Linked DNA regions of Styela clava. The protein of the gene in region 2 purifies or fractionates together with the protein of the main gene of each other region. This does not show direct contact. Links are inferred from orthologs where the notes say so. Each region holds a gene or a part of one and is shown on either strand. Other genes may lie near its edges.

The links.
Region 1: the proteins of N-sulfoglucosamine sulfohydrolase-like (region 2) and formylglycine-generating enzyme-like purify together in Homo sapiens (co-immunoprecipitation; 3 studies listed by BioGRID and IntAct, with this or other methods). This does not show direct contact. The link is inferred for Styela clava from reciprocal best matches to the Homo sapiens genes SGSH and SUMF1.

What each region holds. Positions count from the first base shown.
Region 1 is NC_135251.1:23,323,303-23,329,394, reverse strand, and holds formylglycine-generating enzyme-like, read right to left. Parts: upstream 1,999-6,092; 5' UTR 1,907-1,998; coding exon 770-1,906; downstream 1-769. Other genes in the region: putative tRNA(His) guanylyltransferase, read right to left, coding at 1-210.
Region 2 is NC_135252.1:7,180,974-7,188,278, reverse strand, and holds N-sulfoglucosamine sulfohydrolase-like, read left to right. Parts: upstream 1-4,302; 5' UTR 4,303-4,538; coding exon 4,539-6,083; 3' UTR 6,084-6,674; downstream 6,675-7,305. Other genes in the region: putative serine protease K12H4.7, read right to left, coding at 101-170, 752-957, 1,912-2,087, 2,478-2,591. UniProt on the Homo sapiens protein: Catalyzes a step in lysosomal heparan sulfate degradation.

The DNA.
Region 1 (6,092 bases), on a different chromosome or scaffold from region 2:
TAATATAATATCATGAAATAGCCTCATTACTCCACATGCAGATTCGTTCATAAGATCAAGAGCATTATCATCATTAGGCTTCTTAAAGTTATGTGCAACAGAAAACTTATGAAAGTTCTTTCCATCAACTCGGACAACAATCCAACAGTTTCTCAAACACTCATCCAGTATTTCAAAGTGCTTAACATATTCAAATCTACTTTTTGCCATGTTATTGCTGCAATATATTTAATATCAATTAAAAGAATAATCAATTATGCTTTCGAATGAAAATTTCAAAAAAACTGCAACATGGTATTCTTCTATGCATAGATTTTGTCATGTTATGCTATAAAATTTTAAGCAAAATGCATCTCCAGTTTGACTATTGACTTCTCAAACATATCTGAATAATTTGTCATCAATTGCATTCAGAAAAATTTGTGTATTGGCGATGCAATGATAGATCTTGTGCACTGTTATTGTTAGCATATTCCATTCCTCATTATAATGAATTGATTGAAAAACCATAATTTTTATCCGAATACAATAATGTGTTTAATTAAATGATTACACTCTCAACACAACCCAAGACATATTATCACCAAATTATGCTAGTAAACCAGCAAACAGCAGATCAAATAGGATTACTACGTTTACTTTCGTCTGATATTCTTATTTAAAATTGAATTAACAAACTCATAGATATTGCACATTGCACAATGTCATAGAAATCAATACCTTGGCACTAAATTATGAAAAAAAAATTTATTTGAATGTTCAAAAATATTTATAGTTCAGTATGCTTAGATATTTCCTCTGGCTGTAAATATTTAGGGAGTTTGTCAGCAGCACACCGAAATCCTAAATTTGAAGCTGAACTATCTGGTGTATTTTGGCTTCGTGCAGCACATCTATATCTATAACAATAATCTTTATGGCACAAGTACGAGCCTCCTTTCTTTACTTTATCAGTACCAGTTTTCGGGCCACTTGGATTTTCAACTGGGTTTGCACTATGATCAATTGTCCACCAGTCTTGCACCCATTCCCATACATTTCCAACCATATTATAAAGTTGATATTTATTTGGCTCATATGTTAAAACAGGTGCTGTGGATGAATATCCATCTTCTTCAGTATTTGTTTTAGGAAATTCGCCTTGCCAAATATTCATCCTGTGTTGGTCTTTAGGATTGGGTTTATTGCCCCAAGGAAAAAGTCTATCTTTCAGCCCCCCTCTTGCCGCCTTCTCCCATTCTGCCTCCGTTGGAAGCCTCTTTTCAGCCCATTTGCAATAAGCTGTCGCATCATTCCATGATACATGAACAACGGGATGATCCATTCGTTTCCTAATGTCACTATCCAAACCTTCAGGATAGCGCCACGATGCTTTATCCACAGGTAGCCACCAAGGAGCTTGGGCAACGGCTTGACTTATATCTTTTTTCGTTTTTTCACTGATGAAATTTTCAAGTACAAATGAATTCCCAAACTTTTCGGCTTCTGTGATAAGCCCAGTTTCATCAACAAATTGCTCAAATTGTTCATTGCTAACCTCAGTTTCATCAATATAATAGTCATCCAACGTGACTGTTCGTAATGGACCTTCTCCATCAGCAGGTGGTACGGGTGAATTGTCTGTACCCATTTTGAAGGGGCCTGCTGGAATTAATACCATTTTGGCAGAGAATTTTTCACCGACCTTAAGGTGTGTGATCTCAGGTTCACCTTCAGTTTCTATTACAACATCATCAACTTCTGCATCTTGATCATCCTTTTTCCTACTAAGCTTATCACAGCCACAACTCTTATCTTTATTTTTGTCCCCATTTGCATCGTTCATTTGGTTTCGTTCTGCATTTTCTTCACAAGAAATATCATAGGTGCATAAGATCAAGATGAACAAAACCAATTTTAATAACATAATAGATTGTTCACTTATAACAAATTGCTACAGTAATATTAGAATATAGTAAAATATTAAATACTACAGCAACAAATTCTGAAAATATATACGGGTATATGACACAATTAACTTATATTGAAAATGACATGCAGTGCGGCGAATTGCTAAGCGCGCACAAAAGATAGCAAAATTATGCTAAACATAACTAATACATTATCGAATTTTTTACATATTGTAGTTATAAATGTTATATTGTTTCTTATTATAAACTCAGAAATGATGTCTGGATGTGTACTGTACATGAATGAATACTTTGTTACATAGAATCTACCTCTATCTGTCTATTATTGTCATGTAACAATACTGCGATATGGATCGACACTACTTCCAGACTGCGGTAGGTTAGGTACTGCACTTGCTGTAATTTTTAAGTTCTGTGTTATTTAACTGATTAACAGAGTTTAGCTACTGTAACCAGACATGAGTGATTTTTTTTTTTTTTTTTTTTTTTTTAAAGGTCCACGTTGTGGATTCATAACAGTTTTGTTAAAATAAATAAATGATGAAAAAATAATAATCATAGAACATAGTTACATATAATAAACAAATATATTCGTAAACATCATTCAGTATTATCCAGCCATTCATATTATTCCATTGTTGATTTTTTAGTATTTCTGTATTTCGAAGCAAAATAAGGCCTGCAGGCCTTATTCAGTTTTTTATGAACCTTCCTGCTGTTCTGAACTCATATCTAGCATATTTCAGTATTTCAGTATCTTCTTTCTGCAGTTCTGTCTTTCAGTGTTTTGTGAAGCAAAATACCTATCATGAATATTCTTTTACAGTTTTAGGCTATCAGGGATCTGTATTGCACATAATCACACACACTTTGCATATTACAGTATTATTAGTTTGGAATTCAGGTATTGCAGTACAATTTCTGAACTTTAGCAGGTACAGTAATTTGGTCAGTCTACACTCAAGACACTTCTGCACTTTAATGAGGCATAGAAGTACCAGTAAGCATGAGGCAGCGAGGTAGCCTAGATCTGTAGATAGATAAACTGGGGTCTGGTATAGTTTAGTACCACATCCCCTTCTAGTGTAGTTGGCCTGGCTCAACAATTTTTGCATATGTCAATCCTAACCCCCAACTGACTACGTCACCGAAAATTAAACTGCTGGTACAGTAGTACCGTATTATTAGATGCTAAATTGGAACATATGCATTGTAAATGACATATGGTACCGTAACGTAGAAAACATGATTTGGTTAAACGAAACGCAGTAATACTTTAAATCTTACTAAATTCCAGCGAAGACTTTTGCAATTAGACTACTCTTCCAAAAACTACTACTCTTCTATTACATTTAATTTATGTACCTAAATTTTGTTATATTTTGTGTAAGTTGTCCACAGATCCCTTAAAAAGCATTGCCCGATTCTGAATCGTGTTTTTTGTATTCTTGTAGTAATACAGTAATATTTTTTTTGGTGGGCGGGCGCGTACCGGTACTTTTACGTTTTTTAACTTTATTTTAAGTTATGCTCGCCTTCCAGGTATCTCCGCATTTTGTTTGTTTGTCCAGTTTTTGTGTTGTTTTGTTTTTATGTCAGAGTACCGAAATAAATGATTGATTGACAAGCGGCGTGAGTGCCTTTCGCGGTTGCGCGAAAACTTTCAAGACCGCCTTTGTGAGTTTTTCAAAAACAAACTTTTGCGCGAATGGACCCCGACCCTTGACCCCTAAAAATTCCTTTTTATTTTTCACCCTTGAAAAATTGACGCTTTTTTTAGAGTAATTCAGATTTTAGAGGGTTGGCGCTCGCAAAATGGCTTAGATGTTCACAATTATCTTTTTTATTAAAAACCTCAATCTACGTGCGCTTACAGGCACTGATAGCTAATATTAGGCTGGCATTATTTATTTACTGTCTAAAGTAGTAGTATATATTTACGGTCTAAGACAGTGTTTCCCAACCCGGGTCCGCGGTCTCAAATGAATCCGCGAAGCATTTGAAAGAGTCCGCAACGAGCCAGAAATTCACTGCGGGCCGCAAACGTTTTTTCGAAACTTAATAAGCCAAGTTACGATTTACGTTCGAATTTACATATAACATAAAAAGCAAGTTTATCCACATAACATTAATCGAGTCAATAATTACTGGTTACTGAGTAGGGCTGCGCATATATTCAACTATTAGAATAGCAATTTACTATTCAAAATTTGGTAACAGGTGCCGCGTCGCTAATTAATCAATCTTGCGGATTTCCGACAAAAACACGAGTCTGCACACGCTTCGATAGATACATAAGTGGTGTTTCTGGCGAGTTCGAACATCGAAGAATGAATTTTTTTTCTGGTAGATGTCAATGGTGGAAATCCAAATTTTTTCTTAATTGAAAAGCGGCAATACAAAAAACTAAAATATAAAACGGAGGACATCTTAAGTTTTGTTTTTATGATGGTCCGCGACCGATTAAAAACGCCTCTTTAGACATTGCAAACCGCAAAATTTCGGGTGCTACTGTAGTATACGTACCAGGGCATTTTCCTTTAGGTTTTCTTTGCTTTACTGCCTCCACATTGGTACGTACAGTACTGGAGCACCGTAAGTGTTGTACGAACAGCTCAAATTTGTCGAGTTCACAAAAATACGAATTAAAACAAAATTTAATCGGGCACTTTACTACGTATTTTTGTGTCTACGAATTGTCATGATATGTTCTGAGTAGTATTGCTTTTATTTCGTCAACACAACCGCAGATTAGAATGATCACAATCAAATTAATAATGAAACAAGGCGATGAATATATATGTATTTACTAATATACTTTCTGAAAATTTATAGCAGATAGTAGGATTTTTCTAACGGCGTTTACAAATTTGCAAAATCGCAAAAAATATATATAAAAACTAAATATAATTAGGCAATATTTCATTAAAGCGTAAATATATACTATTAAATTACACGTTGCAGTCAGAATGAACAAACTATAATCATGAAATATAATCGGAAGGGGGCGGGCGAGACTGAAATTATCTAAGTTTTAATCCCGGTTAAGATTCAGATATTTTATTTTGTCCTGCATGAAACATTGTAAACAAATAACATTAATATATAATAGAGATAATATAATTAAATCGAAAATGTTTCGCAAGTGACGAGGTGTCGCGAAAGACTATTGTATTGAGTCATCGGCCTCCATAAATAACTTCCTCAAAAAGTACTAAAACGAGACTAAAAATTACAGGAAAAAAGAATATCACATGATGATGTAAATCATGGAAATTATTAAGAAACAGTAATACAAATTGCAAAAAGATTAAGAAGAGCTTTAGACTAATTATAATTTTCGCAGTCTAGGTATACTTTATGTTTGACAGATGTCAATCCATTTTCGAGAATAAGGCAATTTATACAAGTGAATAAAACAAAAATATATCACATTTCTGAAGTTATATATCTAGCTAGAGCAGCGGTTCCCAAACTATGGGTCGCGACCCACTGGTGAGTCGCAAAAGGAATCTTAGGGGGTCGTGAAAAGATGTAGAAAGCTTTGGATAATTATACTGGTTATTAGAATCGGTGGCGACTGGAATACGTAAATCTTCAAAATAACAAAAAAAAATTAAATTTAATTTAAATTCTAATCTGTAAAAGTTTCCTTTTACGATCTTTTCAAAGGAACAAAAGTTTGCTACACAAAAATGACCATGTGGCTTTTTTACGCATAGCAGTTTTGTGCACTGTACAGCACTTCTTACCGTGTTTCCCCGAAATTTAGACAGGATTTAAATTTATTTTCTTTTGAAGAATATCACTATGGTTGTTTTTGAAAGAGGTCTTTTGTGTTCAATTATCAAAAATAAAATCACATTGTAGAAAATCACAAGATTTTTTACTAAACATTATATAAAAACCGACATCCATCCATATCACACGATCTCGAATAGTGGTGTGATCTTCACCTTACCTCAGGCCAATGAACCTTTCCTCTCCCACACATTTTAAATTTATTTCAAGGGTAGGGTTTAATTAAAATTATTTTGAAAATTCAAGTTATTATCTTATTTTCAGGCCAGGTGCTATTTTCGAAGAAACACGGTAGTTTTGCAATGATTAGCCATTGCTGTGTTCTGTGTTATGTCATAAAAAACAAACAAAATTAAATTAAAGTTAAGTGGGTCGCCATAA
Region 2 (7,305 bases):
TATCATAAACACAATTTTTTGTTATGCGTTACAATTTAACAATGAACAAGTAATAGCCATTACATATACAAACAATAAAATATTTTCATTGATGCACTACCTGTTAACTACTTCATTATATTCATAAAAATCCATCTTTGCAAGCAGAGGTGCACTTGCAGACATTGCTCCTGTGTATTAGAAAATAGTAGTTAAATTGGAAAAAAAAAATCTTGATTGAGTTATTTTTTAAATGGCTCGGAGACGGGTGTAAATTCTCACCAATCATGCATACAAGTATGGGTGTATGTTCACTAAACGACGTAAGTACTCCTATTTGGCATGGCCTGACCATTTTTAAATAGGTTATTCCTAACCCCCACCTGGCTCTGTCATCCAAAGATTATGTCACTATGACCTCACAATCATGTCAAAGAGCTTGCCATAGTTTAGCTACGAACGCACCAACGATAACAAACTCCCTAACATAAGGATAACAAACACCAGCGATCTCTCCCATATCGGGAACGTTACAAGGAAATGAAAGAAATAACTTGCTCAATTTCGGGTGATCGTTTGAGCGTCTCGGATGACAGTTAGTATAGTTTGGAAGGCCGTAGTAGTGACATAATTTTTGAATGACATAGTCAGGTGGGGGTTAGAAACAACATATGGTGTCAATAATTTCCATTTATGAGCACTCAAGAAATTCTTCTTAAAAATCCTTTAAATCTTCCATATTAACAATACAAGTCTACCTAGCTATCAGTACCTTTAATTAAATGTGGATATTTAAGTTTCATCCACAATGAAAGAGATCCAGGATAAGATCCACCGAATGTTATCCAAGTCTTCAAGCCTGATGTTACAGTTTTATTTGTGATAAATCTTGCTATGTCAGCGAGGGCTTGTTCACTTGATAAAAATTGAAGATTCTCAACAGATGTGTCATTAGTAGGATGACTTTCCCCATAAAATCTATAAATAAAATTTATATATGAAATGAAATTATAAATGTTGGCCAGCTTGTACTTCATTTTAAATCTAAAGCAGTTATTTTAGATGAGAATATATTGTTAAGGCAGGACTTAAACTATACAATCTGTAATCATAGAAAGGAAAACTAATTATGCCGATGATGGGTGATGGCCCCTCCGTTATTCATTAATCTATGATTGCCACAGAATATTACCTTGAAACATTACATTTCTGTTTTAATATAAATTGATAATTTTCTTTGTTAAATTAAATGAATAATGTGTGTTCGTTCACTTCATGATGGGAAATTTCAATAACAATATATAATAAATGATAGCATAATCATTTGGGGTTAAAATTTCGGGTCTCGTGTAGTTTCGTACCTAACGTACTTCTAGTGGGCGTAGCAAAACAATTTTTTGATATGTCAATCCTAACCCCCATCTGACTACGCCATCCAAAAATTACGTCACTACGACATCACAATCACGTCATAGAGCTTGACAAATAAACGTACAATCGCCCAAAATGGCATTGGCGCCGACGATAAAGAACTGACAGACATTATCGATCTCTTTCCTATCGGAATCGTTGCGACGAGAAAACAAGAGAAATAACTGTTCGATTTCGGGTGCTCGTTTGCGCCTCTTGGATAGCGAGTCGTATAGTTTGAAGGGTTCTATTACATCACTGTTGACGTAATTTTTGGATGGTGTAGTCAGGTGGGGGTTAGGATTGATACGTGAAAAAATTGTCATGCTACGTCCACTAAAAGTATGTACGAAACTACATGAGACCCAAAATTTATTGTTTTAAATTTTTTCGCTATCCTATTCATATAAAGGCTCAGTCTATATGGCGAAGATGGTGGAAATAGATCACATGCACAAGGAAGGAGGCTTGATTCTACACACCGTGAAAACCTACTTATATCTTTTTGTCCAAATCACTCACCTATGTTCTAAAATAAAACACTTAGCACCAACTTCCTTTGCAATTTCAATCCAATGTCCTTGATCCAACCATACTGGACCTGCGGGTCCTTCTCCACCAATTTGTAAAAAAGCAGGTCCACCTGGTGTATAGTATTTATCCGATACAAAATACCTCTGGCTCCACGTTCTGTGATTCTAAAAGTATACATGGTGTCATTGGTGTGCCAGTATCAAAACTTTGTATCTTGTTAGTCAAGGACCTTATGTGTTGAACATGACTTAATTCAGGATAAAAATTGGTTCAAAAATATGTTGAAAATGTATTCAGAACATTAGGCAGGCTATTCGATCTTGACAATCACTAATATTAGTCCAGAATAAGTCGAATGGTATGAATATTCAAATGTGACTTCAGTCATAAATTTTCTTGAATAACTATTTGAGAAATTTTGGAATCAGCATATTTGGCATGTCATGAAACATTTATAAATTGTGTATCACCATGGTTTCAGTAAACCTTTGTCTAACCAATATTGAGAAAAATAGAACACAAAAAGAGTTATTCAAGTGTTGAAAGACACTCACCTCATGATCAAAATGATCAAGAGTTTGTTCGAACCATTGTTCTTCTGCAAAACCAGATGAAATGCAACAGATGAGAAGCAAAAGATGACACACCGAAAGAAACATCTTTAACATATTTATGTATTAGTGTATTCTAAGGCAGGGGTTCTCAAACTTTTGGTGTTGCGGAGCCCTTGAAAAGTTGAATATTATTCGCGGAGCCCCAAGATAAATGTTAAAATTGTTACTTTCAGATTAATATTCCTGGGCAAGTTAAAAGTACTTTACTTATTTAAAATGCTGAACCTTTTTTAATAGGATTAACACAAGCCATAAATGAATCTGAATTTTATACTAAAGCTGTAAATTTGACACTTGACGAACATATTAATAAATTAGGGGTCGAATCTTTTCTCTTTTGACATTTTTAGAAGACTTAACAGGCCGCTAATAACGTGCGCGATTTTATTTTGTTACAATCGCCGATTTTTTTCGTCAGCATGGCGTGTTTTGAACATCTTTATGCCGGTGTTTATTCTCCCTAAATCAAAAATTTCCCTCGGCATATACATGTATTGTTACACAATGACGACGTTAATTCCTTTTTTGTTCTCGTGGGAAATTATGAGTTCAATGTGAAAAACATGTTACCATATAATAGTCATCTGCGACGAAATGTTAAAAATTATAATTAATAAAGAGATAAATCCGAAACTCAAATTTCTTGATTGAAAAACGGCATTCTAAAATATTAAAACTGAAACTTAAAATGGAAGATCACACGTTTGGCTTCAGCAGACTCACCTCAGATTGAAAACGCTTTTATAGACATTGTAAATCACAAAATTTGGTGTTATGTTAGGTTTTCGTCGTAGTAACTGCGAAATCGAAACACAGTCAATTGTATGCGCGATGTACCCTTTTTTCCCATTCTGAAACTACCGACGAAGCCGCATATACCATATTTCGAGGCTGTATTGTTGTCAGATTTTATCAACGCTGTTATTGCTTCTTTCAACAGTTACAAAATTTTGGGTCAGTATTTCGCAGAGTAATCGAATAGCTCGCGGAGCCCCTGGGTTTCTCTCGCGGAGCCCTGGGGCTCCGTACGGAGCACTTTGAGAACCTATGTTCTAAGGTACCGTAAATACCAAACATAAATTCAATATTACCTCCTTGGAACTCGAATTTCTACCTATAGGCTAGTATGTACCGTAGCATCAAATAATAACAATAATTTATTTATTTAGTCTTCGATCTTACAAGTTATGGAATGCGTACCGGTAGCGCATATTATATTATTGACAGTTGCAACGTGTGGCAATAGTACGGTACCGTTAATCGAGTTGCTTGCTTTCGGATTAGGCTATACCGCAATGGAACAATGCTAATCAAATGTGAACACACGAACAACAAATAAATGAGACAACGCTTGGTCGTTGCTTGATAAAATATCCCGTTTTGGAATTTGTCACTTTGTATCCACCCTACTTTAGAGGGGATTCCCCATTCGTGGTAGCAAGTTGTGCCATGTTCTAAACACGGCCCGAATCTGTAAACCACTTTTAAAAGTCAATCCAGAATCCTAGATATCAATTTGAATAAACTACGATTTCACAAATCAATAATGTACTTTTTCGACCTGTCATAATATACTAATGTTATCATAATATTATCAGTAATAATCACGAGACGCCCTCCTTGCCGATTCTACTAGGATTTATTTTTATTTAAAGTCGAAAATTTCCACCCCAGATTCGGGATTTTAAGATACAATCCACTACTGTAGTCGAGTTGTCTCTGGTGAGTTGTCCGTGTGGTCGAGTTGTTCGCATCCCTCCACTATAGCGTTAACTACTATATATTTACGGTTAACTTCAAGACAACTGTACGATAATTGAATGCCTTAGTTGTCAGCAATTTTTTTTGTATTAATAATTTTCAAATGAACCAACCGGTCAGGTAGTCTTACCAGAGCCAGAGCTCTGGTCTTACCATTTGGTCACACATCATGCAGCGTCATGTGATCGTGTCGTACGGGAAACCCCCTATTACTTAGCCTCTGCAATTTGCAAAAGTGCAATGGTTGGGTGTCTAGGGATGTTCAATCTGGTGCGTTATTTTCATTTTTTATTCATTTGTTTGTCGTCATTGTGTTTGTGCATGGCTGTTATTCCTCGCAATGTCCTGGTAATAGTTGCAGACGATTACGGATTCGAATGTGGAGCGTATAATAACAGTGTCATATCGACTCCAAACATAGATGGATTGGCATCTCGCGGAATTTTGTACAAAAATGCATACACTGTCGTAAGCAGTTGCTCGCCCAGTAGATCAGCAATTCTTACAGGCCTTCCCCCACATCAAAATGGCATGTATGGATTGCACAATGGCTACCATAATTTTGATTCATTCAATGCAGTCAAAAGTCTTCCTCTCATACTAAAAGACTCTGGTATTCGAACTGGTATCATTGGTAAAAAGCATGTTGGCCCAGAGGAAGTTTATCCATTCGAATATGCTCAGACAGAAGAAAATAATTCAATTATGCAAGTCGGGAGAAATATTACCAGAATGAAAGAGCTAACCAGAGAGTTTTTGTCTCAGAGTAATGGTTCTTTCTTTTTATATATTGGATTCCATGATCCACATAGATGTGGGCATACGCAACCACAATATGGAGTTTTTTGTGAAAAATTTGGAAATGGTCAACCAGGAATGGGAATAATAGAAGATTGGAAACCTGATTATTATTCGCCCGATAAAGTAATTGTGCCTGGATTTGTTCAAGATACTCCAGCTGCAAGATCTGACCTGAGTGCACAATACACAACAATATCAAGACTTGATCAAGGAGTTGGACTCATTTTAAAAGAACTTGAGAATGCAGGTCATGCAGATGATACTTTGGTAATATTCACTTCTGATAACGGCATCCCATTTCCAAATGGAAGAACAAATCTCTATGAATCAGGCACTAAAGAACCCTTTATTGTTTCAAACCCACTTAAAAAGTCATCTTGGGGAACGCATAGTGATGGAGTGATTTCCACACTAGATATTACACCTACAGTGTTAAAATGGTTTGACATTTCATATCCAAGTTATAAAATATTCGGTCGTCGTGCTAGTTTAACTGGACAGTCTCTCATATTTAGTGATCCAAATATTCATGGAAGATATGTATTTGGCAGCCACTCATTGCATGAAATCACAATGTATTATCCTATGAGATCAATTAGAAATAAAAGTTGGAGGTTAATTAGAAATTTGAACTATCTTATGCCATTTCCAATTGATCAAGACTTTTATTTGTCTCCATCTTTCCAAGACCTGCTGAATCGTACTAGAGATGGAAAGGATCTTCATTGGTTCAAAACTTTGAATCAGTATTATTATCGCCCTGAATGGGAGATGTATAATTTAGATAATGACTCGCTGGAGATAAAAAATCTAGCAACTGATGAAAAATATAAAGACATTTTTCAGTCTCTTTGGATGATGCAAATGCAATGGCAAAATCAAACACATGATCCTTTCATTTGTGCACCAGGTGGAGTTTTAGAAGATGCTGGAAGTTATAAAGCTCATCCTGTGTGCATGGGACTCCAAAACAATTTGCATTGATGAATATTGTAGCATTTTTCAATTTGTTTTTGATATGCTATATATCTACAGCCACTTTTTTTTACCTCATCATGATCAGCTGTACTTGTTTCATTCTTGTTTGATCATATATCAACTTGTGTTTCTTTACATTTCAATAAATATGTCATTTAGCTGTGATTTATTTATCTCAAGTTCATATTATTTGTGTCAATCTTGTGCCCTGCATTACCAATTAATGTATGGAATGTCATGTTTGAAACCTGGTTGCTGGCAAACTTGTGATCTTTCCTCAACAACAAACAAAAAAACATTTTTATTGACCATCTGTAAATGTTATACTTTATCTTTAATGTTGGGCTGATATCATTTTTATGTATTGGGTTGCCCACTATCCCAAAGTCAGTTCCTTCAATTTCTTCTTTTGACCTTCAATTATAGAGAATGCGCTTTTTTAACCTTTAACCCTTAAAAATATGACATTGCTGTGAACCCTCAACTCCAAAAGTATTTGGTAAGCAATTTTGCAATATTGACAAACAGTTTAATCAGCATGATTTTTGTGTAGTTCTTTGTTGATCAATGTTTGCTAAGTACATACATGTTACCTTGTTTGCTTACTGGTATAGGTTGGATTGTAGCAGAGCGGATATTTAAACTTAGTCTTAATATTTAATACCTGCACTTATTCAAACTGCTAATAATCTGACCAAATCGCTAATCATAACTATGCAGTAGCAAGTTAGTTTTAAATAGATGTCATGCTTGGTCATCATGTTTTGCGTAAAAACTGGTATAATATGAAGCAATCTGTTGGAAAGCTACCTCTGTAAAAAGAGCAGCGATCTTGAATTTTTCTTGATCATTATCATGATCTGGAATAAATAGGTTGTTTACTTCTAAGTTATCTATCGTGGCTAACATCCTTATTATTCAAGTTATCATTATAAATATTGGTAGTTATTCATTTTATGGTACAATAATGGCTACAAAACCTAGAAATGTGGAGGTTTTTACTGATGATTGTTTGACAAATTATACTTACGTTTTCACACCAGACTTGCTTCAAGGCCAAGTAGCCTTCATAACTGGGGGAGGATCTGGAATTGGTTTCCGGATTGCTGAGATTTTTATGCGGCATGGATGCGATATTGCAATCGCCAGTCGGCGTCTAGAAAAAGTGGAAGAATCGGCGAAAAAATTAGAAAATGCCACTGGTAGACGTTGCTCGCTCTATCGCTCT